4 linked regions of the Pelodiscus sinensis genome follow. The protein of the gene in region 2 interacts with the protein of the main gene of each other region in a pairwise test. Links are inferred from orthologs where the notes say so. Each region holds a gene or a part of one and is shown on either strand. Other genes may lie near its edges. The genes, in order: AIRIM, TLE5, FRS3 and OLIG3.

Region 1 (7,471 bases), on a different chromosome or scaffold from region 2:
TGAAGAAAATTGTTGATGCCCATGCCCTAACATAATTTGACTATAGTGTGGGTTCTGGGGTGGGGCTGAAGATAAGAGTTTTGGGGTGTAAAAGGGGGCTCTGGCTTGGGGGGGGTCAAGGCTGGAGCAGAAGGGGCTTACTTTGAGTGTCTCCCCATCAGTGGTGCTACAGGAGTTCTAAGGCAGGCTTCCTGCTGCTCCCAACACCAGACCATGCTGTATCCCAGCCAATGAGTGCGTAGCGAGTGCTCGGGGCTGGGGAAGTGCACAGAGCCCTCTCCCACTAGGAGCCGAGCCTATTACTGGCTGCTGCTGGTGCACAGAGCAGTTTGCGGTGCCAGGACAGGCAGATAGCTGCCTTCGAACCCTCACTGGTCACTCTGCAGGAATGAGACCCAGTGCCTGACACTCCATGACCCAATACTGGGGTGTGACCCGTAGTTTGAAAACCATGGATAAAGAGCATGTTATTGAAAGTATGAACCAATTACATAACTTAGAGACATTGTAATTTGAAATCTAATGAATACTTTTAACTCCTTTAAATTATTAGGTATTACACATGGCTGAGACCTGCAGTTATTCTTGTGGTTTTACAGTTACCTATTTTTTTTAAATGTTTGTCCCACACAAATGCACATACTTCCCAGATTCTGTAAGAAAGACTGACACAAAATGAGGACAAGGCGTAAAAATGAATATTAACACTCGGCCAGATTCATAGCTATTGTAAATCAGCAAAGCTCCAGCAGGACTCAAAGGTGCTACATGGATTGACACCAGCTGAGACTCTGGCCCACCACATAAAGATGAAGTAAACAAACTGAAAGACAGAGAATAATTTTCATGTGTTATTATTATGTGTGTTAGGATAATAGCTGCAGCATTTCCAGAAAGAAGCGTGACACTTATCCCTTTGACTTGACTTATCCGCTCTCCTTCAGATGTGAACTCTGCAAATAGGCCAGACAGAGACATTCCAGCTCTCCCAGCATATCTGTCTGGGCTTTCATGATGCTCACAACTTTAAAGGTCTTGACACAACAGCCTCTTACACTTTGCCTCCCAGTTCTTCCAGCAGGCTCTCAGCTGCACAGCGCTGTTTGTACTTCAGCTGCTCTTCCAGATCTGGGAAACTCCGCAGTGGTGTATGAGCAAATGTGACCTTTTGGCAGGCCTGCATCTGCTCAGCCAGATTGCTGAGGGAGCTCAGAAGAGGCTTGCAATCCGTCAGCGCCTGCTGCCAAACCTCTTGCTGCTGCTGTACGGTGTGGAAGCACTTCTGCAGGGACTGACGGAGGACCAGAACGGCTGGGCTCTCGGACATCCTCTTATAGGCAGACCCAGAGTATAGCCCAGGATAGGCACCGCCCAGACACCTGCAATAAGCACACACAGGTTGTGACGGCGCGTTGGGGGTCCCCCGTCTCCTGCACCCCGAAATGGCACAAACATACTGCACCAGCCGGTGAAATAGAGGAAGTTTATTGCCTCTTCAGGATACAGCACAGCACAGATGTAATCTGGTCCCAGAGCTGGGCTAGGATGCCTCAGGCCCCCTTGAGATGGGGGGAGACTGGGCCCCTAAACTCCAGCCCCTTTCCCTAGGCTGTCTCCTCCATGCTCCCAGACAGCCACCAACTCACTCTCCTCCAGCCCTGCTCCCCAGCCAGGGCAGCCTCCCCCTTCCTTTGTTCCTCTCCATGGGGGGTGTCTGGCCACTGGTTTGCATAGTGACTCATCCTGTTTCGCTGGGTCGTGTACCCATGGCAGCCAGTGGGGGTTACCCCAGAGCCAGCAGCATAGAAACCAGCCAGGTACCCCCACTACGTCACACAGGTATAGAGGTTCTCCTGCCCCTCTGTCCATGCTCACCCGCCTGCCCACCCACCAGCGCCACTGACTGAGAAGCGCAGGCCTCAGGGGACCAGGCAGCTCCTAGACGAGAGTTTGCTTTAGAAACAGGAAACTGGGGGGGGGGGGGGGGCTTCTATTTATGGGGTGGACACATTTGAGGGTAGAGCCCCGCCCGAGTGGGGGGGGGGTGTCTCTACATGGGAGCCAACGGGGGCGGGGAGCAGGGCCCCAGGGGGTCTCCATGTGGGGGGAGGAGCATGGCTGGGGGGGGGGAGCAGGGAATCTGCATGAGGGGACAAAGGGGGAGGGGGAGCAAGGCCCCGGGGGGAGGGGCGGAGGGTCTCCATGGGGGGAGCCGGGAGAGCGGCAACCTGACCCCAGGGCCCACCCTTACCTGAGCCCCGCAACCACAGCGACGTCCCTGCCCCCGGCGCCTGCTGGGAAGTGTAGTTCCGCCCTACGGGCCGGAAATGACGCAGCCAGTTGGCGAAGCGGAAGTCTCCCCGTCGGCTCCGCTGCTGGGAGAGGTAGGGCGCGTTCGCCCTCCCGCCTCCCGCGGGCGGCCGTTGCCTGTGCGCGTGCGCCGCGCGCGCCGCCCCGCGCGCCTGATTGGGCGGCCGGGTTTGAATGTAGCTGCGGCGGCTCGCGCGCGTTGGGAGCGAGTTGGTCAGTGGGGCTGCGGGGCGCCGTGGGGCGCGGCTGGGTGGGGGCGGGGCGAGGTGAGTCCCCCTCTGGTGTGGGGGGGGGATGGTGAGGTGAGGGGACCCCGATGGGGGGGTAATTCTGAGGAGGGGGGTCCCGCTCTGCGGTGAAGGAATCGCGGGGCGTCGGGGTCCACTTTGCGGGGGGGAGGGGCGAGACCGAGCTGCGTTGGGGAAGCACGCGCGGGAGGGGGGGGACACCTCCAGACCCCCCCCTTCTGTCACGTGTTCCTCCCTCCTCCCCAGCAATGGCCCTACCCCAGGGCTTCCCAGCCTGCCCGCCCCAGTTCAATCACCTCCCGGTGTCAGCGTCTGGGGGGGTCTCGCTCCCAGGCTGCAGCGCCCCAGAGCCCTGTGGCTCCTTCAACGGTTTTATTTGGGCGCCCGCTTCCTCGGGTGCGCGCAGGGGGAGCGTCCGTTTGGCAGGGGTACGTACCTGGGTGGGAACCAGCCATTCCCAGGGGCTGCTGGGACTCCGTCGGATCGTGTCCATTTTGCATCTGAAGGTCCCGCTCCATAGTTTCCCCCGAAGTCTGTTTTCGAAGGTTTTTTTTTTGGCCAGGCCGGCAACTTGCAAGTCTGTTACTGAGCAGGAGCCATCGCTGTAAGAAATTGGGGCAGGGCAAGGGGTTCCCAGCCGGCTTTGTCTACAAGACAGAGGTGATGCGGATTGGGGCCGGGCATGGCTGTTCCTGACGCATCCTCATTCCAGGACAAAAGCATTGTGGGTCTGTTTAACTTCTTCTGCCCAGAGGCTCCAACCGGGGTCGGGAAGGAATTTTCCTCCAGGGTAGATTGGCAGAGGCCCTGGAGGTTTTTCGCCTTCCTCTGTAGCATGGGGTACAGATCACAGCTGGAGGATTCTCTGCATCTTGGGGCCTTCAAGTATTTGAAGGCTTCAATATCTGAGATATAGGTGAGAGGATTATTCTAAGAGGGGTGGGTGAGATTCTGTGGCCTGCACTGTGCAGAGGGTCAGACTAGATGATCATAATGGTCCCTTCTGACCTTAAAGTCTATGAGCCCTATGTTGTTCAGACAAGCCCATGCCGAGCTTTCAGCCCCATGCCACCTCTGGTGGAGCTACTGCCTGGTATTGGGGAACCACTCATCTGTCTGGGGCACCAATGCGTCGCTCTACGTTGTAGCTTGCTGTTGGCCTAGGAGCCCTGATTTTTCAATGAGGATAGAGCAGCAGTAGCTCCCAAAAGACTAGAGTCCTCTTGTCTCTAACTGGCAAGTGTCTCCTCCTTGTATGAATGCAAATGGCTGTTTCCGTTCTGCTACACAGATCTATCTGACACCATGGCACCATCCAAGAAGAAAACAAACAATGGTACCAGCAAAAACAATGTGAAAAAGAAAAAGCTGGCTGCATTTTTAAAGGACTTTGACTGTGAAGGTAACCATTCCACTCATTCATAAAACTTGTTCTCTACAAAGACTTTAGGGCCCTGAGTTGTTTTCCAGGTTAATTTAATGCATGTGAAAGTTATTGTCTTGACAACCCTGGAGACTAACACCTCAGAAAACTGAAGTGTTGTACAGGCAGGACAGATACAGCAAAAAAGCCAGAGCTTTGATCCAGAAGGATGACTTTGAGGAGTTTAAGAATGGTTTAATTCTAGATGCTCATGCAAACCTTGCCCTTTCTTGAGCGTCTGTGGTCGGGGGAGACTTGTTGTAAAGAGTGTGCTGCATTGTTGCTGTAGGGCTATCAGGAATTAAACTAAAATAGGAACTACTTTTCAGAGGTCAGTGGCAGCTGACAAATATTAACCATTGGGTGGTTGTCAATAAGATGTATAGAGAGACAAGATACGTAAGATATCTCATATTGAGCCAATTCTTGTGGGTGAGAAACAAGTTTATGTAAAGTTGTTCTTCAAGTTAGGGGAAATGTACTCACAATGTCACAGCTAAATACTAGGTGAAACAAATTGTTTAGCATAAGTGATTAACACACATTTCAAGGGACCATTCAATGTGAAGTGGCCATTAATACCTCTCCAGTGAGTTATAGATTATTGTAATAAGCCGTAAATCCAATGTGTGTCTATTTAGTTCATGATTTTTAGTATCTAGCAAACTTATGAATTTAAGTTCCCAGGCTCTTCTTTTGTAGGTGTTGTACAGGTTACCTTTGAGGATGAGGTAAGAGAGGTCAGACATAGGCTGATTCCTCTGCGAAAAGTGTGTGCCCGGAGGGAAAACAGTATTTTTGACTCTTATTATGTTTTGGTGTGAGTTCATTTTAAGTACATAGTGTTTGTCTGGTTTCACTGTTTCAATGTTACTGTGACACATTTACTACCATTGGGCGAGATACATCACATAGGGTGTGTCTAGACTACATGCCTCCTTCGAGGGAGGCATGTAGATTAGCCAGATCGGAAGAGGGAAATGAAGCCGCGATTAAAATAATCGCGGCTTCATTTAAATTTAAATGGCTGCCCCGATCTGCCGATCAGCTGTTTGTCGGCAGATCGGGGCAGTCTGGACGCGATGCGCCGACAAAGAAGCCTTTCTTCATCGGCACAGGTAAGCCTCGGCTTACCTGTGCCGATGAAGAAAGGCTTCTTTGTCGGCGCATCGCGTCCAGACTGCCCCGATCTGCCGACAAACAGCTGATCGGCAGATCGGGGCAGCCATTTAAATTTAAATGAAGCCGCGATTATTTTAATTGCGGCTTCATTTCCCTCTTCCGATCTGGCTAATCTACATGCCTCCCTCGAAGGAGGCATGTAGTCTAGACACACCCATAATGTGATAGACATGCTTACAAGCCATGGATTTTGAGGGGTGTGTCATTGCAGCACTGGAAATATGCTTACAGGTTTTTCTTTGTTGTGGCCGTGTCTGGTGCTGCTTTGAGTTAATGTCTTGGTCTGTGGAGGCCTTATTTCTGATGATGGGATTGGGGGATTGTATAAAGGCCAGAAGAGGGTTCAGAAAAGAAATCTTTCAGGATATCCCCATCAAGTATGGGTTGTAATTGTTTAATGATATCCTTTATGGGTTGTAGTTAGGGATGTAAAATCCTGTTTAATTGGTTAATCAATTAAATGGGAGCCGGGGAGTGGGGGCTGAGCTGGAGTGGCTCTCTTCCTGCAGCGTGCCTGGGCCCGCTGTGGACAGTGACTGCTCCGGAGTGCCCGTGTCCGTGGCAGGCCCTTGCGGGGCTATAACAGCTCCCCTGTCCATGCTTGGTGGGTAACTGCTCTAGCCCTGCACCTGTTAACCAGAACTGGTAAGCAATATCTGTTAAAGGTGATGCTTACTGATTAACCTTTCACATTCCTAGTTGCAATACAGGTGGTAGGTAACAATCTGTTCTACCTTTATGGAATTTTTCCATCAACCTAGCTAGTGCCTCTCGAAGCGGATTGCCTTCATTGATGGGTAAGGTAAAACCCTACTATTCCCTACTATTGGTATTAGGACTGTCTGTGCAGAAGCACTGTAGACATACTTTTATGCATTTTAATTAACTCACTTGGGATGAATGAAATAGATTTGATCAGAAAAGCGTGTTCATAAGGGAATAGATTTTTGCTGATGTTCAGAGAAACATAAATTCAAGCCTTGATGTGTAAATCCTAAATAATATTTTTGTTCTATATATTTGTTAATCGTACCATTTTCTTTTTTTCGTTTAGTCCAAACTAGAATTGATCAGATACAAACAAATGGGCGAAGTCTTCTCAAGGAGTTGGATAATCTTTATAACATAGAAAACCTCAGACTTCCTCTAGCACTGAGAGAGATGAACTGGCTTGACTACTTTGGTATGGTCCATCCATTCCCATATGTGTTGACAACATAATTTTGAGCTGTAACTGAGTTATGAGTTAAATTTATTCAGTTAGTGGACTTTGTTTCCCTCCCTCCCGATTATTTGGGCCGAGAGAATTGCCAGCCTCCTGGGCAAGGTGGGAAGAGACTGCTTCCATGCTCCCAGAAGGGCAGAGCTGGGGCAGCCAGCCCTCAGAGTCACCTGGAGAGTGCTAGATGGTGCTCCAGCAGCGATTAAAAGGGCCCAGGACTCTGGCCACTGCTATGACAGCGGTGGCCTAGAGCCCCAGTCCCTTTTGAATTGCTGGCTCCCGGGGCAACTGCTCCCTTCTTCCCATCCCCACCCTGTAGCAGGCCTGCATACAATGAATACGTAAACATAATTACTATTGATATTGTCATTGTTATCTATAATTATGTTATTTCTTTTATAATACATTGCATTTAAAGTCAGTATATTAGATACATTTATTTGTATGAAAGTGCTAAATCAAAATAAGACTTCACAAGTTTTTCCTTTGTATATCTTAAAGTCACTGGTACATGAGCCAATGTAAAGTGTGACACTGGATTAACTAGGTGTACAATCATGTGCTTAAAAATCTTTGGAAATAAGAAGAGGCAAATTGAATACCCTGTCCATATGGATTCATAAACAACCACAGATTTGTGGTTTAAGATAACTCTTGCTTTCATACTAGTTTCTTTAGCTTAAGCTAGTCATTAACTGTCAAGAAATGCTCATTGTTTGGTTGTTTAATTCTATGCAAGTATAAATTTTTAATATTGCATAAATTACTCTGGTTATTCATTAATTTAAAAAATTCCGTCTCCAGCTAAAGGAGGAAGTAAAAAGGCCCTAGAAGAAGCAGCAACGGTAGGTAACGTATATCCAGTGTAGCAACTAAGCCAAATAATAGGAATTTCTTTTTTAGTGCTATTGTATAATGTATTTAGGAGCTAGGGATGTCAAGAAAGAGGTAATTTGACTACACAATTAGTCAAAAAGGGAAAGTTGTCTGTCCTGGCTCATGCTGATACAGGAGCTACCCCCATTGTGGCTTTGTGATCTAAAGACAGTAAGAGCTGGGCGTGCTCTTACTACATTTCAAATGCAG
Region 2 (7,998 bases):
AAGTATAGGGCCAGTGCCACAGAGAAGGCTAGTTTTAACTTTCTGTCACAGAGGGCAGTATTTTACACTCACACATGCACACACAAATATATTCCAAGTTGGTACCACTAGAGCTGTGTGAAACTCGGCCATTTCTATTCATGATTTTAGATTCATAGGGCCTGCTTCTCATTTATACTAAGGTCCCTCCTTACATTACTAGAGCAGACAATTACATTTTCACTCACTTTACATGTCAAGGGGCATTAATGTAAATGAAAATCACATAAGCCTCACGCAGCAATTCCTGCATCTAGCCCAGTCACTTGTGGTTGAACTAGAGTGTTCCTTTTAGGAGACCTCCAGCTTTGTATGACCCAAAGCATTGTGTGGTGCATCGTGTTATTCTAGCAGTGAAGGACGTATGGATTATTTGAAATTGCAAGGACTTCTTAAAATTATGTTATTTGCTGATTGCATTGATTTTCCTGCTGACCCATTGGTCTCTACATGATGATGGTTTGACCTGTGATCCTTAAACTGATGCAGCAAAGAAAATTGCCAAAATGAGCCACTAGTGAACTGTAAGTCAGTTTGGTATCTGTGTATCTGGAATTCCACGGTGTGTGAACAGTGTGTCTTGGGGCCCAGAACACAGCCTGAAACTCAGCAGACTGGACCTCTATTTCTGGTTCTGATGCTGGGTGATCCTGGGCAAGTCAGTGTAACGTGCTATGCCTCAGTTTCCCATCTGTAAAAAAAGGGTTAGTGATAGACATTTCTCTTGTCAAGCACTTTGCGAGCTACTTGTGTAAAGTGCTATATAAGAGCTAGGCTTATTGTTGTCTGATGGAAGACAGGATACTGGGCTAGACGGACCTTTGGTCTGTCCCCGTATGGCCATTCTTATGATGCGATGTGCAACAGCTCAGTTAAAAAAAAATAACGGAGTGGTGACACAGGGCTTCTGCAGCTGTTCTCGTGGGGTAGCTCTCAAGTTTGATGTCCTTATTCAAATCTATGCAATCCTTAACTTGCTTGGTTTGACTGTGGTGACCATGCGAGTACCCTAAGCAGTTGGAATGTGTGTTCACTCAGTCGCATCGAATTTTACTGCCTGGCCAAGTTCAGCTCTTACTTTATTGCTCAATGCTAGCTGCACTTTACAGAGAACATGACCCAAAAAAGAGCTCTATGGGAGCTCAGAAGCAGGTCTCTCTCACCTACAGAAGATGGTCCAATATATCAAGGGCATTCACAATTACAGATTGATGGTAGGGAGAGATTGCCTGATTGCCTCCACTTCCATGCCTATTTGCGCTGCTGCCATAGCACCCCTATTGTGAGATGACTGGGAACCAAATTCATGGGCTGGCAGCCCTAATCTCATCAATTCCTGTTTCAATCCCAAGACCATTTGATATGCCATGAAGGGACTCCCATCCCTGTGTTTGAAAAGGGGTGCCCTCCCCCCTTCCACCGTATTGCCACTGTATTACCTCGAACATGTATTTTGCTGTATGATGCATCAATAGAGCCCTACGCAGCTACAAAATTTGTATCTGCAAAAATGAGCCACAGATATCTGCATCCACATCTACAGATGCGGATACCTATGGATATAAAGTGGATATCTGCAGATTTGCAGGGCTCTTCGCTTCTAAGCCTCTCAAATACCTTTCGAGACACTCCCAGACCATTTCCTGCATTTTGATCAGGTTTTGCACCTATTTAAATAGATATGCATTTGCAAACTGCTCTTCAGTGCAAACCCATTGGGTCCTTCTTGTTCCAGTGTTTCAAACTCTATGGAGTGAAATCTGTCCTTATGCTGAGACACTGGGATACCGTAGATAGGTGGGCTCATTATGTGTTTACTATATGAAGCAAGCTTAGATATTTAACACTGGGTCGTCACTAGTATTTTTGTATTTGCCTACTGTGATTATGTGGCACTCAATTTCCCTCTCTGTGCTGGAATTCACTTTTTGTTCATTTATTTCCAGCATCATAAACCAAACTATTATATCAACTTGCTCTGTAAGGGATCTATCAAAGATCATCGTGAGAGCTGTCCGTCCATGAATGTATTTTGCTTTTATACAGCGTTTCAGATTGTGCTGAAAGCAATGCCCTGTGCAAAATGGTTGCCTTTATTGTGTGTATGACACCGCATCCCTTGGGCTGCACACCTTTCTGTCATCTCGTGATTGCTTCCGCATTCACTGCATCTGCTGTTTACTTGCCTTTGTGTTCTGTCTTTATGCATTTTTAATTAGTTGCACTTCAGTTCTTTCACTGCTTTTTAACACTTTGAGAAGCAGTTTTCACCAGCCTTGAAAATATCCAGTCCTTTGCAAAGTCAAATCCATTTCTCATAAACACCTTGCTTTGACCTATTTATCAGTTATGCCACAAGTAATTCTGTCTCTAATTAGTATATAGCTATTAACTGTTCAAATTTGCATGGCCTAGCTTTAATACACAGGTTTGTAACATAAGGATCAACGGTCTCATCTGGCACTAGAGAAAAATATGCTTTTCCCAACTGACTTTCTTGCATGGATCACTGTGCTCCAAGAATTTTTGAATGAAATGTTAAATGGTTTCAAAAAAGAACAAGATAAATTCATGGAGTATAGGTCCATAAATGCTTATTAGCCAGGACGGGCAGGAATGGTGTCCCTAGCCTCTGTTTGTCAGAAGCTGGGAATGGGTGACATTGGGGGGGGGGGGGGGGGGCTCACTTGATGATTCCCTGTTCATTCCCTTTGGGGCAACTGGCACTGTTGGAAGACAGGACCTTGGGCTAGATGGATCCTTGGTCTGACCCAGTCTGGCCGTTCTTGTGTTCTTATGCTGCATGTTGCAATTTGCAGCCCTCTTCATGCTCCCTACCATAGCTCACCAATATTTTAGGCTTGTCCCTCCCAGGTAAAAGTGAAGGGAACTTCACCCTCACAGATTTCTCTGCCATGTCACTTGCTTTCAGGAGAATTTGGAAGTGCTGCAGAGACCATGCAATAAAGACGTGACAGGCGGGAGTTATGGGGCAGGGTTGCAAAAGGGTATATACCCTTCACCTGACTGCAGTGACTCCAGTGACTACTGTTACAGCCCATTGGGATTCCAGGTCTGAAAATTCCTAGCCATGTTGGGTTTCAGCTCTGGAGTTACTCACAGCCAAGACATAAAGCAAGGCCCCTGAACACAACATGTTACAATAGTTCAGCTGATACAGCTCTTTCATCTCTATCAGTGGGTGCATACCTCATGCTAACACCAATTTAGGGAGTACCACACTGCTAGAGGGGGCAGGCATCTGGTCATGGGCACGATGTTAAACCATGGCCCCTGCTGTTTGCATATAGGTGGAAAATAGACTTCCTTTATCACTCCATAAGAGATTGGAATAGCCAAGAGAATCAGAGTAATGTCCAAGGCTTGCTCACTGCATAGCTGGGGGTTAAGTGACTATGTTCAGTCTGAAGGCTACAAGGAAACCATTAGGGTTTTTGGGGCTCTGGCCTAACTTTTCCAGCTCCCAAATTGCACTGCAGGAAAGGACATTTTAAAGGGGAGATGCATTCAGCACAACACAGGAGGAGGGATCCTGTGTGAGAAGAAAACAGAGAGTAATGGTAGAATGATTATGTTTGTAGGGCCTACAGCAGTGGTTTTTAGCCAGGGGTATATGTACCTGTGCGGGTACACAGAGATCATCTGGGGGGTACATCAATTCATCCAGATATTTGCTTACAGGCTACATAAAAGCACTAGTGAAGTCAATATAAAATAAAAATATCATACAATTACTTATTTATTCTGCTCCATGTACTACATACACTGAAATATAAGTACAATATTTATATGCCAGTTGATTTATTTTATATGGTAAAAAGGAGGAAGTCAGCAATTTTTCAGTAATAGTGTGGCTGTGACGCTTTTTAAATATTTTAATGTCTGATTTTGTAAGCAAGTCGTTTTTAAATTAGGCGAAACTTGGGGGAGGGGGACATGAGAGAAATCAGAGTCCTGAAATGAGTAGCCATGTTTCAGAGGGGTAGCTGTGTCAGTCTGTTTCAGCAAAAACAAGGTGGAGTCCTGTGGCACCTTAAAGACTAACAGACTTATTTGGTTATAAGCAGGGCTCGACAAACCGCGGCAAGATCTACTCGCCAGCCCCACACCGCGCATGCGCCAGACCAGCACTGTGCATGCACACAGCACCGGTGAACGGGGCAACTGGCTGAAATCTACTCGCCACAGGCAAGTAGATATGGCGATTGGTCGAGCCCTGGTCATAAGCTTTCATGGGCTGGACCCCCACTTTGTCAGATGCATGATTCATGTTATATCCCCTTCACCTGGCAGGTGTAGTAGCCACTCACTCCAGCGGCTACTATTACAGCCCACTGGAAGTTCCACGTCTGAAAAATTCAGGCTGATTTATGCATCTGACGAACGGGGCAGCGTAGCGTGCGAAGGTTGAGAGCCACCGGCTTAGAGCAGTGTTCCCTCTAATCTTTTCAATCCAGATGCAGAATAAATTTTTTATGTACACTGAGTCATGTGTGAAAGTGCACTGCCAGGAGAAAAAAAACTCTCTGTGGGTGCTCTGCCAACCAGTGGGGTGGCATTGGAGTCTCAACTGTGTGGCTGCACAAGCCTTAGCTCATAGGGAACTTGGGCCTAGACACACAAACCCTACTGTGCCTAGACCCCTATGAAGAGGATCCCTGCAGCCTTTCTGGGACTGAGTCCTGCCCACAGAGGGGCTGGAGCAGTTTTTGTACTGGGCGGGGGGCGGGGGGGGCGCCATTGACCCAAATAGCACAGAATGGAAACCCTTTCAAGCCAGGGCCGCTGCAGCATCTTTGGAAGGGGGAGGCCCGGGTGACGCGTTAGCTGTTCAGCCGGAGCGGGAGTAGCAGGAAGCACGTCCAGGGAGGGAATGCGCTGGAGGGAGGGTGTTGCTAGCTGCACCCGCCTGGGGAGGGGAGGCGTTCCCTGGCCCGGGAGAGGCGCTAAGGTCCCTGCCGGAGAGGGGAGCTGCAAGGGGGCGGGCGCTGGGGGGAGCTGCAGCCAGGCGGGGGAGCGCAGCTCGGCTTTGCTGCAGAGCCGGCTCCGGGGGAGCGGCGCGGAGCGGGGCTGCTGCAGAGCGGAGCGGAGCGGAGCGGGGCGCACGGCCGGGCTGCTGCGGGGCGGAGCGGGGCGCGCGGGGCAGCCGCAGCCGCAGCAGCAGGTGGTGCTGATCAGCCGCAGGACGGAGCCGCAGCCGCCATTAGACAAAAGGCGAGGCGGCCGGAGCCGAGCGGAGCCGCAGCCCGGCGCGGGGACGCGGCCTAGGCTCGGGCGCTGCGCAGGGACAAAGGCGGAGCAGCGGGGCCCGGCCCAGGCAGCAGCCGGAGCAGCCCGAGCCTGACATGATGTTTCCGCAAAGCCGGCACTCGGTGAGCCGCGGGCCCGGCCCGGGGGCTGCACCGGGGCGCGCGTGGGGGGTGCGCGTGGGGGGGGGGCGCTTAGTGCGTGGGGGAAGCACGGAGCGGGGGGGCTCTGCACCCCACGGGGGGGTCGGCGCACAGGTGGGGGCTGCTCAGCGCGCTCTGGGGCAAGCGCCGGGGGCTCCTGCGGGTAAGGGGATGCGTGGGCGGGCCCGAGGCAAGGGGGGTGCGGGGGGAGTTCAAGGTTGGGCTGGAGGTGTCGGGCTCGGCGGGGCGCTGCGGGGGTGGCTCGGGGCGCCTTGGTCCAGGAAGTGCAGCGGGGCGAAGCGGCCACTGCTCTTGTGCTGGGAAGACCCTGGCAGCTGGGCCAGCCAATGCACAAGGGGCGTCTCTGCCTCGCGTGGGGTCTGGGGCGAGCTGGAAGGGACACGGGGGTGCTGGGTGGAAACCGCTTTGGGCCCTGGGGGGCCAAGTTGGTGTTTTATGAGGGTGAGGGGCGGGGTGCAGGTGCTGTCTGGGAGAGGGTGGTATGTGGGGGGCAGGAGACGGGGGAGGGGTGAGGGCACTTTTACCTGAGTAGCTCTTTTCCTTTTCTTGAAGCTGGCTGCTCTGCTTCTTCCAGTTTCTGTGAGGGGTCGGTGCACTGATGGGAATATTTATCTCCCCCCCCCCCCCCCCCCCGAGCTTACTGCCATCGGGGCTTTGAGCCCCTGATTATCCTGATGGGAAAAGAATAAATGTTTATTGTTCCTCCACTTTTTAATACCCGAGTCTAGATAGAGCCGTAGAGGAGGAGGATTGCCTTGAAACAAACAAACAAACAAACCCTAGGCTGGCAGATTGGGGTGGGTTTAAATATCCCCTGGCCCCTATCAACTCTCTCTCTAATTCTGGGGTGTTGCCTGGTGGCAGAGGTGCTGTCCTTCCTGTTGCTAAAGGAGGCAGGAGGCATTGTGAGCTCAGATCAGCTGAGTGAAAGCTTGGCTCACTGGTTGGGATGCCAGCCTGGGACTGGCGACTGCTGGATTCCATTCCTAGAGCCAGTGGCTTAGTCTGTCCGTGCCTCAGTTTCCTGTCTGTAGAATTGAGGTAATAGCCCTGCCCTCCCTCACAGGGGTGCTGTGAGGCGAAACGCATTAAAGGAGGCCTTTAGAAACTGGGACCTCTCCACCTTCCTGATTGCCGTAGCTAGCAGAGCAGCAGCAGGGCTGCATGACCGTGGGCCCCTTTTGGGGCCTGTGTTCCCCATCTGAGGGGGCGGAGGCGGGGAGAAATAGTTCTCCTGGAGGTGGGGCTTTAATTCCAGGTCCTTGGTGCAAGAGTGCTAGGGAAGGAGGCTGATGCTGCAGTCATTGCTTGGGGGTTGGGGGTGCTGCCCAGTGCTGACCCTCATCTGTGGGGACAGCTGTGCTGGAGGGGGAAGGCTTGTCTGGGCATCGCTTTCCCTCCTGCCATATTGCCCGGCGCTCTCTTCTGTGTCCAAAGGGTTCGTCTCATCTGCCGCAGCAGCTGAAGTTCACGACCTCTGATTCCTGTGACCGGATTAAAGATGAATTCCAGCTCCTGCAAGCTCAGTACCACAGGTGAGCCTAGTGCACTGCGGTGCAACTAGCCGCAGCCTGCGGCTCTCCATGTCTACGGCCCACGGGGAGCTGGCGGGGATGCTATTCAGGGCCCATGCCAAAGTGAGTGTTGTCTTGGTGACGTCCCTCCTCCCAGCCTGCCGTAAGGGATGCTCTTCTCATCGGCTGCGTGCTGTCACTGCGATGCTCTCAGTAGCTAGCCAGAGATGGTGGCAGTAAACGATGCTTTCACAGGTGGGTCCCAGGGGCCTGTCACTTGCTCGCTTCTGCCATGAAGTTTTCAGGATTTTTTTGTTAAGGGCTCCTGGGGAGGGGACGGGATATTCAGAGGTTGACTTGCTAGATAGAGACATGGTGATAGACAGGAAGGAGGACCGGCGCAGTTTCTTGCAGCCTTATGTACTGCTGCAGTTGTCAGAGGATGACTCGTGTAGGAAACCGAACTGACCCTCACAGCTGATCCCCCAAGGAAACAGACCCGAGCAATGTGCTTTGGAGGAAGATTCCTTCACAGCAGCCAGATTTGAAATGCGATGGAGAGCATGATTGCCTTGGCTAAAATGGCACCTAGTTGTGGGGGGAGGGGTGGGGGATGAGTCCTGCTGTGTTATAACCCTGACGATCATGAAAGCTGAAGGCTTTAAATTCCCCCCCTGAGCAGCAGTACTCCTGGTTTACCCTTTGCTCAGCTAGGACAATGAGGACTAGCCGATTGCACTGTGGCTGGGAGTTTGTAGTCTGTGCTGTGTTCTGTCTTGCCCACGTGAACCCATTGCAAACACTGCTGGGAAATGCTGAAATCTCAATGTGCATGTTTTCCAATAAACCTTTCTAGTGATCTTAAGATTTGGCTTTTATTGGAACAGAGCTTAAATCAACCTGAGGGTATCCTCTTTAATTATCTAATACACCATTGAGATCTCTTCATTTTGTGTCCTTATGCATATGACTTTGTGGCTGCTCGCTTGTTCTGCTCTGACTTTCCCATGTGC
Region 3 (7,854 bases), on a different chromosome or scaffold from region 2:
GTCTTCATGCTCCTCCACTGAACCCCCCCCAAAACTTGAATTAATCAGTATTTTACAATTTTTTTCCACTCCCTGAATATTTCACATTTCTGTCCAACATTCCCTGTCTCTCCAGAGCCAGCAACAGATGTTTCTGTTTCCCTATGCCCATCTCCTAAGACTCATGTCCTCCATCTAATACTCTGTTTAATGCACTATTCTGCACATACCTCCTCGCATATTCCCGTGTTCTGCTCAAATTTCATGTGCAAAGCATCAAGGCAAACACTGTTCATTACATGATTCAGAAAGCGAGAGATTTGAGCAATGAAGAGAGAACAGCACACACCTCAGGATGACAATTTGATGCAAAAAGCGCCATTTGGCACAAGACGCCACCAAGTGCCACACGGCATAACCCAGGACAAACCTGTGTCACTCAGCACAGGGCAGTCAGCGACCCCCTCAAATTCATGCTGGATCACATAAGCAACTAGACAAAAAATTTAGAAGCTTAGTGTGGTGAAAAGGTAGGGAAAAGGCAAGGTTTATCCTATGCCAGTGCTCTGAACCTGGCTCAGGAAGCAGGATATGGATGCCCTAAGGCCCTGGTGTCTGGCCAACTGAGTGGAAATAAACAGGAAAAGAGGTGGCAGAAGGCATGAAAAGGGGGTACCATTACATGAGCGACAACACAAACTGCAGTGATTGGCATATGGGCGAGAAGGGAATCGTTAATGAGGGAATGTCAGGTCTCTTGGTGTGGTAGGGTAGGAATGGAAGGAATAATACACAATAGAAGATGAAAAATGGACAGTAAATCCACTGGGGGATCAGTGCAGGAGGCACAGGGAAGGTCAGAGGGAGGAGATAACGGAGGTCAGCGTAGGAGGTGCAGGGGGGCAAGGGAAAGCAGGGGTCAGTGCTGGAGTTACCGGGTAGGGATGTAAAATCCCATTTAATTAGTTAGCCAGTTAAATGTTAAGTTTAACCAGTTAACTAATTACACAGTGGGCAGGAGGCGGCTCCAGTCCCCACTGGTTAACCATTAACATTCCTAGTGGGGGGGTATCCGGGCATGAGATGTGGAGGAATCGAGAAGATAATGGGGTGGAGTGAGTGCAGGAGGGGGTCAGGCAGAGGATGGGAAGGGGGGGGGGGTCAGTGCAGGAGGTGCAGAGGGTTGTGGGGGGGGGATAGCAGGAGGGGGTCAGTGGGAGAGGAGAGGAGAGGAGGGGGTCAGCGCAGGAGGTGCATGGGAGAGAGGAGCAGGGGGTTGGTGCAAGAGATCCAGGGGACGGGAGGTGAGCAGGGGGTTGGTGCAAAAAGCACAGGGGGAGCAGGAGGTCAGTGCTGGGGGCAGAGGGCAGTGCAGGGGGAACAGGGAGTCAGGCAGAGACATAGGAGAGGGGTTAGCGTGAGGGAGTTAGTGCAGGGAGTCTGGGGGAGCAGAGGGTCAGTGCAGAAAGCGTGGGAGGAGGCGGGGAGAGGGCAGTAGGGGGGTTGGTGCAGGAGGGAGGAAGCGGGGGTCGGTACAGGGGGGAAGCGGAGGGAAAGCGGGGGGGCCGGCGGAGGAGGGAAGCGAGGGTCAGTGCAGGAGACGCAGGAGGAGAGCGGGGGGGGGGTCGGTGCAGGAGGAGAGCGGGGGGGGGAGTCGGTGCAGGAGGAGAGCGGGGAGGGTGGGTGCAGGAGGAGAGCGGGGAGGGTGGGTGCAGGAGGAGAGCGGGGGGGGGAACAGGGGGGGCCGGCGGAGGAGGGAAGCGGGGGTCAGTGCAGGAGACGCAGGAGGAGAGCGGGGGGGGGGCGGTGCAGGAGAGCGGGGGGGCGGTGCGGGGGGAGTCGGTACAGGAGGCGCGGGGGGGTTCGGTGCGGGGGGTCGGTGCAGGAGGCGCGGGGGGGGGTCGGTGCGGGGAGGGGGTCGGTGCAGAAGGCGCGGGGGGGGGTCGGTGCAGGAGGCGCGGGGGGGGTCGGTGCAGGAGGCGCGGGGGGGGTCGGTGCGGGGGGTCGGTGCAGGAAGCGCGGGGGGGGTCGGTGCAGGAGGCGCGGGGGGGGGGTCGGTGCGGGGGGTCGGTGCAGGAGGCGCGGGGGGGGGTCGGTGCGGGGGGGGGTCGGTGCAGGAGGTGCGGGGGGGGGTCGGTGCAGGAGGTGCGGGGGGGGGTCGGTGCGGGGGGGCGGGGCAGGAGGCGCGGGGGGTCGGTGCAGGGGGGCGGTGCAGGATGCGCGGGGGGGGTCGGTGCGGGGGGGGGGTCGGTGCAGGAGGCGCGGGGGGGGTCGGTGCGGGGGGTCGGTGCAGGAAGCGCGGGGGGGGTCGGTGCGGGGGGTCGGTGCAGGAAGCGCGGGGGGGGGTCGGTGCAGGAGGCGCGGGGGGGGTCGGTGCGGGGGGGCGGTGCAGGAGGCGCGGGGGGGTCGGTGCGGGGGGGGTCGGTGCAGGAGGCGCGGGGGGGTCGGTGCGGGGGGGGTCGGTGCAGGAGGCGCGGGGGGGTCGGTGCGGGGGGTCGGTGCAGGAGGCGCGGGGGGGGGTCGGTGCAGGAGGCGCGGGGGGGGGTCGGTGCGGGGGGGGGCGGTGCAGGAGGCGCGGGGGGGGTCGGTGCGGGGGGGGTCGGTGCGGGGGGGCGGTGCAGGAGGCGCGGGGGGGGCGGTGCAGGAGGCGCGGGGGGGGCGGCGGACGCAGCCCGGGGGGGTGAGTGCCGGGGAGCAGCAGGCGGGAGGGGACACCTGTGAGGGGTGCCGGGGGCGGGGCGGGGGGAGTGAGGGGGGGCCCGAGGGGGCGGGGCCGTGGGGGGAGGGGGAGGGGGCCGGGGTCTCTGTACCTGCGGCGCTGCCCGGCCTCTGCCGCGCGGGCGCTGAGGGCCGGGCCCCCCCGCCGGCCGGCGCCGTGGGGCCCCCGCTCGGGCTCCGGGACCCGCCAGCGCCGCCTCCCTCCCCCCACCCCAGGTCGGGCCGGGGCCGGGCCCGCAGCCGCCGGCAGCGGGAGCAGCGAGTCCGGCAGCCGCAGGCTAGAGCGTCGTTCGCTGGGAGGACCCGGGCGGGCGCTAGGGGGCGCTGGGGCCGCGCTGCTCGGGGCCTGCGGCGGGGGGCGGGACCTTGGAGTGAGCGGGGGAGGCGCTTAGCCGCGGGGCGGGGACATCGGGCTGTGAGGGGGGAGGAGCTTTGGGACTGGGGGGCGGGGCCGCTGGCTGAGGGGGCGGAGGGAGGGGAAGCTGGTAGTGGGGGAGGGGGGATCTGGCAGGGAGGGGCTGGGGCAGCTGGCTCTGGGGGTAGGGAGGGAGAGGAGGGGGCTCTGGGGGAGGGGGAGCAGGCACAGGAGGGGGGGGGAATGAGGAGATGGGGCATTTGGGGGGATGCTGGGGGAGCTGACCCTGAGCTAAACATTTTTGCACGTGAAGAGAGACAGAAACTAGGGGAAAGTGCAGAGCAGTGTACACACTCCACCCTCCGCACACAGCCCACCTCCCTCTACCCAGCTCCTGCCACAACACTGTGCATATGGTCACACACAGGCTCCCCCAACAGACAAAACCCCATGGGTGCTCCCACGCCACATACACAAAACAACCAGTAGTCCCCACACCACCTATGCCCTCTCAGACAGACCATCCCTTTTCTCTAGTACAATATTGCTATTGCCAGTCAAAAATCTCCCTTGGTCCCCAAGGAGAGAGATGCAGTTAAAAGGTGTGTCCCTGTTTTTCCTCTCCATACATCCTGTGGATACTTTCAAATACATGCACACTCCAGTGGCTGCTAGTAATGTGATATTACCATAAAATAAATCCATACTAATCATCGCTTATCCCCAACATACCATGGGCAATGCTTAAACTAATTAGATAGTATTCATTGTGTTTTACAATATTTTTCACTCCCTGTACTAAACTGCTGGGTCTGTTATTAAACAGCTGTCAGAAGTGGCTATCTATCCATGGGTGTAGAGTGATCCCTGAATTCTGTGATTTGTAAAGTACTTGGTGCTTCTGTGTAATGAAAGATGCTGTAGAAATGTAAGGTGAGATCATATATTAAATCCTAATTCAGTAGGAGGGCTCCCTTTAGCAACAAAGTGCTCACTCCTAGTCTGTTACCCAGGCATCTTCCACCACACTCTTCAGAGACTATGAGACAGGGACACCCACCTCGGGGCACTGTGTCTTCTGCCCAGCCTTGTATCTGCCAACTGCAGCATTCTCTGATTCAACTACAGTAGTACCTGCTCACAATATCCGCATAACTGCCCTGAATAGAATTAGCATTATATATAGTCTGAATGCATGGGATATAAATAACTTTCATAATTAATATTGCTAGTGACAACTATTTAAAGATGGGTTTAACATGAGTTCCCTGATTTATGAACAGGAATAGGTTATGGTTGTTCTAGCCAACCTATAACATCAGTGTTAAATTCTCTTCTGAAGTCCACAGGTGTGATAGGGAAGAATTTAACTCTGACCTCTGAGGGCACATCTACACAGCAGGGCTAAAGTCAAATTAAGCTATTCAACGTCAGCTACATCAATTGCACAGCCGAAGTCGAAATAGCTTAACTCAGTTTTTGACGCTGTCTGCACAGCAGGAAGTCAAAGGAAGAACACTCTTCCTTCCATTTCCCTTACTCCTCGTGAAATGAGGGTTACCGGAGTAAGAAGTCCTCCAGCTCAACATTATTTTGGAAAAAAAAGACTTGAAGTGTAGACGTGTACTATATTATTTCAGAATAATGTCAGTTATTCCAAACTAATGGTGCAGCCTAGACATACCCAGAGAGATTGTTTCAAATGGGTTTTGAACATGACTCCGAGAAAATATCCTTGTCCATACCCGTGAGAGGAATTAATCTGAGACTTCTGCTGGCAACAACAGTGATGGAAATTGCCTGTAGCTGGAATACTTCTGATCCCCCTGTGAAATTCTCCCCGGCCGATGGAGTTGTCTGGAGGCATATGCACTATATGAATAGGGCATAATAAATGTGCAACCCAGCTAAATATGGCTCAGGACATACTACAAGAATGGTAGAGGGCTCCCTTGTGAGAGGGAAAGTAGGAAGGCATTACTTCAGTGGTGGGCAACCTGTAGCCCACAGGGCACACGTGACCCATCCAGATTCCATATGTGGCCGGCAAGACATTTTCCTGGCCCTTCCCTGGGCTGAGGGGTGGAGCATGTGTCTGGGGGGCCTGCCAAGAAGTGGGAGCTAAGGGGGTAACTGCCCTGGGACCTGGTGATCTTAAAGGATCTGGGGCTCCTAACCACCTTTACTACACTTTACATTGCTCCTGGTTCTGGCCAATAGGAGCTGAGATATTTTGCTGAGAGGCAGGGGCAGCATGTGAAACCTCCCCCTCCCCTTTCCCCCCAGCACTCAGAACAGAGAGCCACAGAGAGCAGCCAGCCATTTTGAGCAGCCTGAGACTGTGACAGGCAGGAGCAAGGGTGGGAAGGGGGCTGAGCAGGGGTGGGAAGAGGCAGGTCCTGGGGTGGAGGGGGGTTTTCCCGGGCTGGCAGTGCACTGATTCCTGCAGGGCTGCTGACTGGGCGCCACCTAGGTAAGCACTTCCAGGCCAGAGCCTGTCTCTGGCACCCCAGCCTCTCTCTCCCCTAAACTCCCTGCCTCACACTACCACCCCTCCTGCCCCAGGTCATCACCCTCCCAGACCCTGAACCCCCACTTATACACCTCCCCAAAGCCAGAATCCTCTCCTGCACCTATACTCCATCCCTGACCCTGACCCCCAATCACCTGCCCCAGGTTACCATCCAAACCCTCTGCACTCATCCTCCCTCAGACCACAACTCCCTCCCAGACCCTGCACGCTCTCCTACATCCCTTCTGGACTCTGCACCCCAAGCTCCTGCCCCAGATCACAACCCCTCCTTCACCCAAATGCCCTCTCAGACCCCACACTCTCTCCTCCACCCCAGGCTCCCTTCTGCACCCAACCTCCATCCCAGACTGTGCACCCCCTCCATGACGAAGTGTGGCCCTTGAACACTTACAAAAAGAGTCCCCACCCACATCAAAAATTCTTGCCCACCCCTGAGCAAGGCAGCACCTTCTGAGTTACCATTGTGTTATAATGTCTGGTCTTGTAGATGGGAGCTTAAGTGTGATTGAAATGTTTCCCTTTCTGTGTAAATAGACACAAATGGCAGCGAGTGAATGGACAAGGACACAGAGGAGGCAGGGATATTACAAACGGTGCACACAGAGAAAGAACTCAAGCAGCGCAATGGGACAAAGTCCACAACAGCAAGCAGGCAAGATAACACTGACCCCAAACCCAAACACAGTCGATTAACTTTCACTGGGTACAAGGTGGTAGAACAGTTTCCTTAGAGCTTCCCTTTAGCACAGGTTGAGCTGCATGTGCCTGGACTGGAACTCCTGTTAGAAAGCCAGGCTGGGTGAACTGAGCGGGGTAGTAGTATTTGAAGGGCAGAGCTCCCTGGTTGTTGTGTTTGACAGGTGGCCAGTGAAATGCTATTGAACAGGGGTGGTGATACATAGAGGGCATGCTGGAGGGTGGAGCATCCTCCCACCTCTGCTACTGACTGGCTGTGTGACCCTGGGCAAGTCACTTCACAGTCCTCAGCATTTCACTTATTTGTGTTGCCATAGTTCATCGAGGCCCCAGCCGTTTGGCTAGATGCTGTACAAACCAATAACACAAGCTATGCTGCCAAGAGCTTACATTGTAAGCATAAGCCGAGACAAGAGGTGACACAGCAAACAGAGGGGAACCCGAGGTATCAGTCAGACAATTATAATGAATGTCATTAATAGCAGTCAGAGCTCTCCAGCTGCCTAACCATTATTTTAGGCATCATGGCTGAAGTGAGTTTTAAGGAAGGAGTCGCTTCCCTGTGCCTCAGTTTCCCCATCTCTTAAAGGGGGATAATTATCTTTACCTTCTTTCCTGAAGCCTCAAAAGAATGTGTGAGCTGTGTAGCATAATAATCATCACCGAGGGTAACAGCAACAAACCAGTGAAGCAGAGGGAATGAGACAACAGATGGGAGGGAGGTAGAGAGGTAGCGAGCAGCAAAACATCGCCCAGTTCTTTCCCCTGCAGGGTTAACAACAGCCTCCTTTCGCCTGATTTCCCTCCCTGCCTGCTGCCATTGGCTGCCTCTGTAGGTTTAAGCTAAAAAGCCCTGTAATTAGGATCCCATCTGACACAGATCCAGTTTCCTGGGCAGGCAGATTTTTAAAAAGAAGAAAAAAAATCTCCCTGGTTTAGCCTGGATGTTTTCCTTTCGCTTTGCTGCAAAACTTTCCACGGCTCAGCCACTCTCCTGCCTGAGGCCCTTGGAAGCAGGTGGAGACCAGGGTGACCAGCCAGCCCAATATTATGGGGCTATCCCAATATTAGGGGCTTTGTCTTCTACAAGCAACTGTACTCCCCCCACCCCCCTTCCGCCCTTGGTTAAAAATTGTGTCCTGATTTTTCACACTTGCTATCTGGTCACCCTAGCTGGGGTGCAGCCGGAAAGGGGCAGGAAGAAATACGAACCTCGCGACGTGTGGGCGAAGCCGATCTGTGCTGTGGCGCGGGAAGGAGGGGGCCTCGGAAAGAAGGTAGGTGATTGATTGTGTTGCTGCGGGGCCCAGCAGAGCCACGCTGTGGGGGGTGGCGCGCTGTTATCGTGGGGGTGCTGAGAGCCACTGAACCAAACTGGAAACCCTGCATGGCATGGAAAGTCTGAGAGTTCTACTGCTGCACCCTGCTCTGGGGGCTGCAGGAATAGCAGAGGGCAAGGAACAGGAGGGGCTGTCAGTGGAGGCTGTCTTTACCCTCCCTGCCTGGGCCAGGTGGAGGCACTGGCAGAGGGGAGAGAAAGAGAATCAGGGAGGGGGGTTCCCCCTGTGAAAAC
Region 4 (6,999 bases), on a different chromosome or scaffold from region 2:
AAGACACGTTGTTGTCTTTGAGGCCGTAACAAAATATTTCAAGCAAATGCCCAGGAAAACATAACAAAATCAAACATAAAACGACAGTAAAGTTCCAATGGAGTAACACAATGACCAATCTGGCCAGAGTCGACCCTGCATGCAGATCACTGAGCAAGGGGTATTGAGGGCAATGTGGAACCCAGCCAGCTGAACTACTACACTGCACTTAGAGCAGGAGATAAAAACCTGGCGAAACATTGTGCGTGTTTTGCGCTATTTCTCGTTTTATACAGCCACGGACGGGGTGAGGGTGTAGGGAGGAACCCAGGAAATGCTTTAGGGAATATCCTTGTTACAAGGAAAACTGCACCATTGCCAGAACAACATGTTTAAACGAGATTCAATTATAAGCAAGCATGCATTCTTTTGGGCTATATTGGGTAAAAAAAAGAATCATCATTCCTAGCTGTCATACCCTGGAGTGGAGCAGAGAAAATTCCCAGAAATGGCGGCGTTTGTCTTTAAAAACAAACAAATAACAAACAAACAACCCTCCCCCCCAATAACTCATCGTCTCTTTGCAGCTGCGAACAGTACAATGACCAGCATGTCTTTTTTTTGCATCCATTTAAAGGAATTATTTACATTTTTATTCGTTTTTTTACAACAGGGATTTTTGTTTTAGCATAAGAAGACAACATGGCCCGAGCATCCAACTAAAACGTTACCTTTGGAAGGTCCTTACTACACTAATCCCTTGTTACAACAAATGCAGTTTGGACAAGCTCGGATGTCAGTGAGGGAGAACACACCGGCCGGCGTCCATGGGAGGAAAAGAAGCATGCATGCGAACACTGGACTTCTTGGCTTGAGTCTTCCTGCGGCAGCACCTAGCAGAACTTGGGTGGAGGTGTGTCTCTGAGACAGCGAGCGAGGGGCGCTCAGCGTCACTTCAGCAAGTCCTTGGATTCTGCAGCGAGCCTGCTCATGTTGGCTGTGGTGAGGGCAGACAGGTGTGGCGGGGGTGGCATTTGACAGATCGTGCACGGGCAAGGCAAACCGGCCCAGTGCTGGAAGCCACTGCCAAGCTGGAGGGCCGGGGGGGTAGAGGGAGTCTTGAGTAAAGAGTGAGGGGGCCTGATGGTGCCAATCCCTGGTAGGGAGGCGGAGAGCGGGGAGGAGGTGTTGGCCGAAGACAAGGCACTGCCAAGGATGGGGTGAACCTGGTGGACCGTGCTAGCTGGGTGGGCCGGGTGCCCGCTTGCGTGTCCCACTGTGCCGCAGTGAAAAGCGGAGTGGTGCCCCCCATAGATTTCACCCACCAGCCTCTTCATCTCCTCCAGGGAGCTAGTGAGCATCAGGATGTAGTTTCTGGCCAGCAGGAGGGTGGCAATTTTGGAGAGTTTCCTCACCGAAGGTCCATGTGCGTAGGGCATCACCTCCCGCAGCCCATCCATGGCCAGGTTCAAATCGTGCATCCTTTTGCGCTCCCGCCCGTTGATCTTCAGCCTCAGCTGCTGCAGGTCCTGCTCCGAGAGCTGCTTTTTGATTTTGTACTTGCTGCCTTCCCCTCCGGCCTTGGAGCCGTTTCTGGACAGGCCTTCCCCGGACATCTTCTGCACCAGGTCGCCCTGCGTGGAGGAGACCGAATTGAGCCGGTTGTCCTGATGGTGGTGGTGGTGATGGTGGTGATGGTGGTCTCTCAGGTACATCTCATCCATGTCTGGCGAGGACGCTCTGCTGGAGACAGAGCTGGAGTCAGAATTCATTGTATTTGGACTTCCGAGCAAGAAATTTCTTCCCTGCTCTAAAGAGGGTGACGTTGGGTGATTGTTATTTTAAAAAAGCAAAACAAAACAAAATAAAACAAAACCCTGCAGGCTCTGTGAGGGGGGAGGGAGTTCAAACAGGAGGAAAATTCTTCTTTCTCCCTCTAATCTCTTCCGCTGGATACCCAGCCTGCATACGGGATAGCTGGTTGGTGTATGCTTGAACTAACCTCAGCCTGGAAAAGAGGGGCTTTTATAGCGCTGCAGCAGAGAAAAGAGACAAAAGGAGCCCTCCTATCTATAATGGTCTTGTTAGGATGACGTGCAATTATTCAGGGCGGTGCGCTTTGACTGTCCCATTTAGCAAGGACTCCCATTCATATTCATTGTGGTGCCACCCTGGGACACCTCAGCCATGGACCATCAGGAGTCAAGGAGACACAAAACCTCTCTGATTGACAACACGCACTCATCCCTGAATGTTCACGCCCTCTCCTCCCCCTGTTTCTAATTTCCAATATAAAACTGCCTCTAGTGTACAGTAAAGAGCAAAGGGGCTGATTTGGGTGTGTATTTTTGCTTGGGGTCATTTTTCAGTCTAGCATCTCAGTGTTAGTAACATCGTAGCAAATTCTATTTGTCTGAGGAAGCAGAGGAAGATTGGTTGCTTTGGGGTGTGTGCCTGTGTGTATGTATTTGGCTGGTTCCAATCCCGAAAGAAAATAATTGTCTCACTTTCTTAATCCTTTTCTATACATATTTTAGTTCCCCTTCGTTTTCATTTGCCACCGATCTTTATGGTTTTCTCGCTTATCATTTCTATTAAAATATTTGGAAATTCATCTCTCTGGCTGCAACCATTTGACTTTTTTTGCACTTTGAATGAATATAAACCATGAATCTGTGTTGACAGTTTTATTTTTAAAGATAATCCAAATTGTTTCAAAATTAGAAGAGAGACCACGATATATTTATTCCCTATAGATACACTGAATGGGAGGAGGTGGGGAAAGGAAGTCGTTTGTGAATTGGACTAAGAAGCTGCATAAAAGACTGGACACATGCAGGCAAAAGGAAACTAACATCAAGTCACAAGGGGGAGAGACTCTTGCAAGCAATAATATGTTACGCGATGAAGATTTGTTAGAGTAAGTAACTGGCTCCTTGAAGTAGTTTTATTTTGATATATACCTGGTAACAGACATAGGAGTCTGGTGTATGTGTGTGTGAGAGAGAGTGTGTGTGAGTGTGTGTGTGAGTATGAGTGTGTGTGTGTGTGTGTGTGTGTGTGTGTGTGTGAGAGAGAGAGAGAGAGAGAGAGAGAGAGAGAGACTGTGTGTTGGGATACTGAAGGATGACAGTTTGTGTGTCTATAGCTGGAAGTGTTTCCGTTATGTTGCCCTGAGTGTCTGTGTGTATTGTGGCGGAGCTTCTGCAAAGCGCCATGCAAGACTGTTCCAGATATGCGGCAGTCTGGGTACCGATGTGCAGGATTTGTTTGTGGGCATATGTGAGTGCTTTCTGTAGGATCCGGGCAGAGATACTGCGCATTGGGATGCGCCATTGCGGGACTGGGGAGAGAGGAGTTTGAGGGTGTGTGTGAGGGGGGCGGAGAAGCCTGCCAAAGCCAGGTGTGCTTATGAGGAAGAGTGTAATTTGGAGTAGTTTTGTAGAGATCCGGTGTACATAGAGACGGCTCAGCCCCTGGAATTGCCAGGGACTGATTGGTGTGTGCCCTGCACATGCTGAATGCATGAGTGTGTGAAAAGGACAAACATAGGGAGTGAATTGAGAAGAGTGACAGCGACGGTTTGTCTTGATTGCAGTGTTTGGTTAGCAAGTGTTAGCTGACACCTTCCAACAAACTTCTTCAAGCACTCTTGTGTAGACACGGCAGTGGAACCGTTAGCACGTGCAGACTGGCTTGGGTTGAAGCCTGACTCCCCCTTTAACAGCTTTCCTGATTGGAGAATGAAACCTTGACAGGAGTTTTCCGTCTGAGTATGGGTTTTAAAAGACCAACTGCACTGGACAGACTAAAAGCAACTGCTAGCAGGCAGGGTCCAAGTTATTGTTACTCCAAGGATATTTCAGACCCACAAGGAGAAGCGTCTGAAAGCGATAGATGTTTTCCTCCTATTGATTCTAACTGTACTTAATCTGCTGAGAAACACATTTAAGACGTTTGTCATTGCTGTCTGTAAATCCCGCCGTGGGAACTGGAGCAGATAGAGTGATAAAGAAAAGAAAAGAAAAGAAAAGAAAAGAAAAGAAAAGAAAAGAAAAGAAAAGAAAAGAAAAAGGCGCTTCTCTCACTGGGGGGAAAGTTGGACCAATAACTTGACTGAGAAATAAGGTGCATTAACCCCTTGTTCAGAAGCACGTAAGACAGAAAAATGATTGCATTCAGTTTCGGTTTGCCAAGCCTCCGCTGAGAGCATGGGAGACGCGGCTTTTCTCGTAGCTGAACCACTCCAGGTATAAGGAGAAAGAAAAACTGTTTGACTAACTTGTCCACATTTCCGTGTAATCTGGCGCCTATACAGAGATTCACTCCCATTTCACGACATCAGGAACCGCATAACTGATAGTCTGTAGGGGTTGCCGTGTTAGTCTGTATCTCTAAAAGCAGCCAGGAGTCCTGGGTCACCTTACAGACTAACACATTTAATAGGGCATCAGCTTTTTTTGGTCAAAATCCCTTCGTCAAATGCAGGAACATAAGTGAATAATGCACCTAGTGATCGCCATCCCTCTTCCCAGCCAAGAGCACAAATCTAAGCAGGACCAGGCAGGGTACACTTCTGGAGCTATCTTTACTCATGAAAAGACACCCAACGTGTCTCTTTCTGCCCCTTTCTACTTTTTATGTGCTTGGAAAAACTGCTGGCAGGACCTGCAAATTCCAGCCTTGCCCACTGATTCCCCCCTCCCCATTGTATCTATTTGAAACACTTTAGAAGTTTTAAAGGGGGGGCATTAATTGCTTAGCTATTCACATTAATAAGACAAAAGTGTAAGCACGGGAGAAAAGAATCAAGTAAAACCCGTCAAGCGATTCATAGTAATAAATGCGATAGCTGCAACCAAAGGGATTCTGTTCTGTCTCGGTTAAGAGTTCTTCGTCCTCAGAACCGCCCTTAAGACAACTTCCATCGGATCAGGGGCCGGCTGCATGGCACAGGCTTCTTCTTGGTCCCCAGGCTTTGGGGATCATGGAGATCCCTGTCCTCAGACTTACATTTTTTTTTCTCTTAGCAAGAGGGATTAGCGCCAGTTCCCGGCTTTCTACCAAAACATCTACTGCCCGGGAGAAGCGATCCCCGGGTGGCTGCCTTCTCTCTTCCGAGGGAAGAGTGTGGAGGGCGAGAGGGAGGCCTTGTCAGCCAGCTCCGGAGGAAGGGGGGTTATTAGAGAGAAGTGAACTCCCGGCTGCCTCGCCCCCACCCTGTCCTGCTCATTCCTTTGCGGTCCTGGTGTTCTGCTGCAAACCGCAGCGTCTCCCATTGCCAAGGGCAGGAGCGCTCCGCACGTGCTTTTTGGAGTTGGGGTTATATTCGAGCAGAGATGGGGGGAGGCGCAGAATGAATTGCAGGGGGAAACTGGCATGTGCGCTCTCTCTCTCTGTCTCTCTGTCTCTCTCTCTCTCTCTGTCCCTGCCAGACATAGAAACCAGAGGGGTGGGACAGCAGGATCTTCGCTGGGAATTGTTACAGCCGGGTGTAATGTGGGAACAGGCCATGGGGTGAGGAGCTGTGTTCCCGGGTGGGATGGGGGAATCCCAGCCACCATCAATGACTGGGTGTCAGTGGGGACAATCTTGCTGTCAGGACATTATACTGTGAGCCCGAACCTCCAGCGTTTACCCGGAAGATCCACAAACACACATGTACATGCTTCTTCTCTACAGCGGCCAAGGGAAGGTTTTGCCTGAGCTAGGCAAGTTGACTGGCAAAGACGAGAATTCGAGCCCCAGCGAGGGAAGGGGAAGGACCAGGCGTCACGGGCTAGAGATGAAGCGATCTGACTGCAGAAAGGGCCTTCGGACCGACTTTTCCAGCGCTACAGCCATCAGCCACCCTGTACCGTTCCATCGCCTTGGCAGGTTTTAGCCACCACGCCCGCCTGCGACAGAGTTTTGCCTTGCTGGCTGGAGAGCAAAGCGCCTCTGGTTGTTTTTGTTCAGTTAATTGGCAATCCAAGGTACACATGCACACACAAAGGCATAGTTTGCAAAAAAAAAAAAAAAAAAAAACCCGCAGAGAGATTTTCGGGGCATCCGAGCGCATTCTGTCGTCCCCTCTCCCTCCAATACAATGAAAATACTCCGCTTGAGGCGGGACAAGTGTTATTTTGCATTTGCTGCGACTTTGGCTGGGGCAAGGCTCTGCCCCCTTTCTCCTTGTTTAGCATTGCACATTTTTGGTAGGGCCGAAAGAACGCAAAATCTACTCCACATATTTCAGCAATATCAGACAAGCGATGTGTATCAGTAGTTGGTGTAGGATTTGATAGAAAATTTCACTGCCCTGGAATTCTTATACATAAACCCAACCCTACGCCAGAAAGGACCCTCCATTTGATCTAGTCCTTCCTCTGGGCCATGTGGGAATATAAATAAGCAAAAGGGGAGGGGGAAGGCTTTGAGAGAATAGCTTTGCACGACACTCTACAATTTAGAGAGATGGAGTATGTATTAATTATTATCAACATGGTTGTCACAGTCACCAGCAACTCTTGTTCGGCTTAGTAATGCAACAGGCTGTTCCCCCAAACTCCTTGTAGTTTAAAATGGGCCATAAGTGATTTATTACTATATTTACTGCAACAGAAATATCGCACAAACAAATACCTGGTTACCAGCTCTATTCCTTGTTAGAGCAGGAGTGTTCCTTACAATATGTACTTCTCTCTAGTCTGTGTTTCTCATGTGTGTGTGAATAATAAAGCAGTAGCTCATACTTCTTTGTACTATGATACTGATTACTCTCCATTATCTGCTACACTTGCTTTTTGTTTTGTTTACTTTAGAAAGTGAAGTAGGACCAAAAGCAAAATCAATTTTAGACAAGACTATTAAAGATTTTAAAAGTGTGCTCTTGCTCCCCTTTCAGTAAATAGCAAAACTCCCAGAATGCATCTACACAGAATCAAAAACTCAAAATAAGATATGCAATTTGTGCTATGCAAATTGCATATCTTATTTTGATTGAATTTTGAAATAGGCTATTTTGAAATTTGGCATGAC

The links.
Region 1: the proteins of TLE5 (region 2) and AIRIM interact in binary tests that used the Homo sapiens proteins (3 or more experiments, as listed by UniProt). The two-hybrid records come from large-scale screens. The link is inferred for Pelodiscus sinensis from reciprocal best matches to the Homo sapiens genes TLE5 and AIRIM.
Region 3: the proteins of TLE5 (region 2) and FRS3 interact in binary tests that used the Homo sapiens proteins (3 or more experiments, as listed by UniProt). The two-hybrid records come from large-scale screens. The link is inferred for Pelodiscus sinensis from reciprocal best matches to the Homo sapiens genes TLE5 and FRS3.
Region 4: the proteins of TLE5 (region 2) and OLIG3 interact in binary tests that used the Homo sapiens proteins (3 or more experiments, as listed by UniProt). The two-hybrid records come from large-scale screens. The link is inferred for Pelodiscus sinensis from reciprocal best matches to the Homo sapiens genes TLE5 and OLIG3.

What each region holds. Positions count from the first base shown.
Region 1 is NC_134735.1:10,126,075-10,133,545, forward strand, and holds the start of AIRIM (AFG2-interacting ribosome maturation factor), read right to left. Parts: upstream 3,017-7,471; 5' UTR 2,995-3,016; intron 2,987-2,994; exon of another isoform or gene 2,859-2,986; intron 2,577-2,858; exon of another isoform or gene 2,553-2,576; intron 2,524-2,552; exon of another isoform or gene 2,482-2,523; intron 2,385-2,481; exon of another isoform or gene 2,252-2,384; intron 1,380-2,251; 5' UTR 1,328-1,379; coding exon 1,056-1,327; intron 1-1,055. Other genes in the region: CDCA8 (borealin), read left to right, coding at 3,864-3,960, 6,218-6,346, 7,190-7,230. UniProt on the Homo sapiens protein: Part of the 55LCC heterohexameric ATPase complex which is chromatin-associated and promotes replisome proteostasis to maintain replication fork progression and genome stability.
Region 2 is NC_134729.1:15,388,279-15,396,276, forward strand, and holds the start of TLE5 (TLE family member 5), read left to right. Parts: upstream 1-4,995; 5' UTR 4,996-5,405; coding exon 5,406-5,432; intron 5,433-6,908; coding exon 6,909-7,006; intron 7,007-7,998. UniProt on the Homo sapiens protein: Transcriptional corepressor. Acts as a dominant repressor towards other family members. Inhibits NF-kappa-B-regulated gene expression. May be required for the initiation and maintenance of the differentiated state.
Region 3 is NC_134737.1:9,657,819-9,665,672, reverse strand, and holds the start of FRS3 (fibroblast growth factor receptor substrate 3), read right to left. Parts: upstream 3,012-7,854; 5' UTR 2,790-3,011; intron 1,044-2,789; exon of another isoform or gene 329-1,043; intron 1-328. UniProt on the Homo sapiens protein: Adapter protein that links FGF and NGF receptors to downstream signaling pathways. Involved in the activation of MAP kinases. Down-regulates ERK2 signaling by interfering with the phosphorylation and nuclear translocation of ERK2.
Region 4 is NC_134713.1:98,096,107-98,103,105, forward strand, and holds the start of OLIG3 (oligodendrocyte transcription factor 3), read right to left. Parts: upstream 3,011-6,999; 5' UTR 1,752-3,010; coding exon 930-1,751; 3' UTR 1-929. UniProt on the Homo sapiens protein: May determine the distinct specification program of class A neurons in the dorsal part of the spinal cord and suppress specification of class B neurons.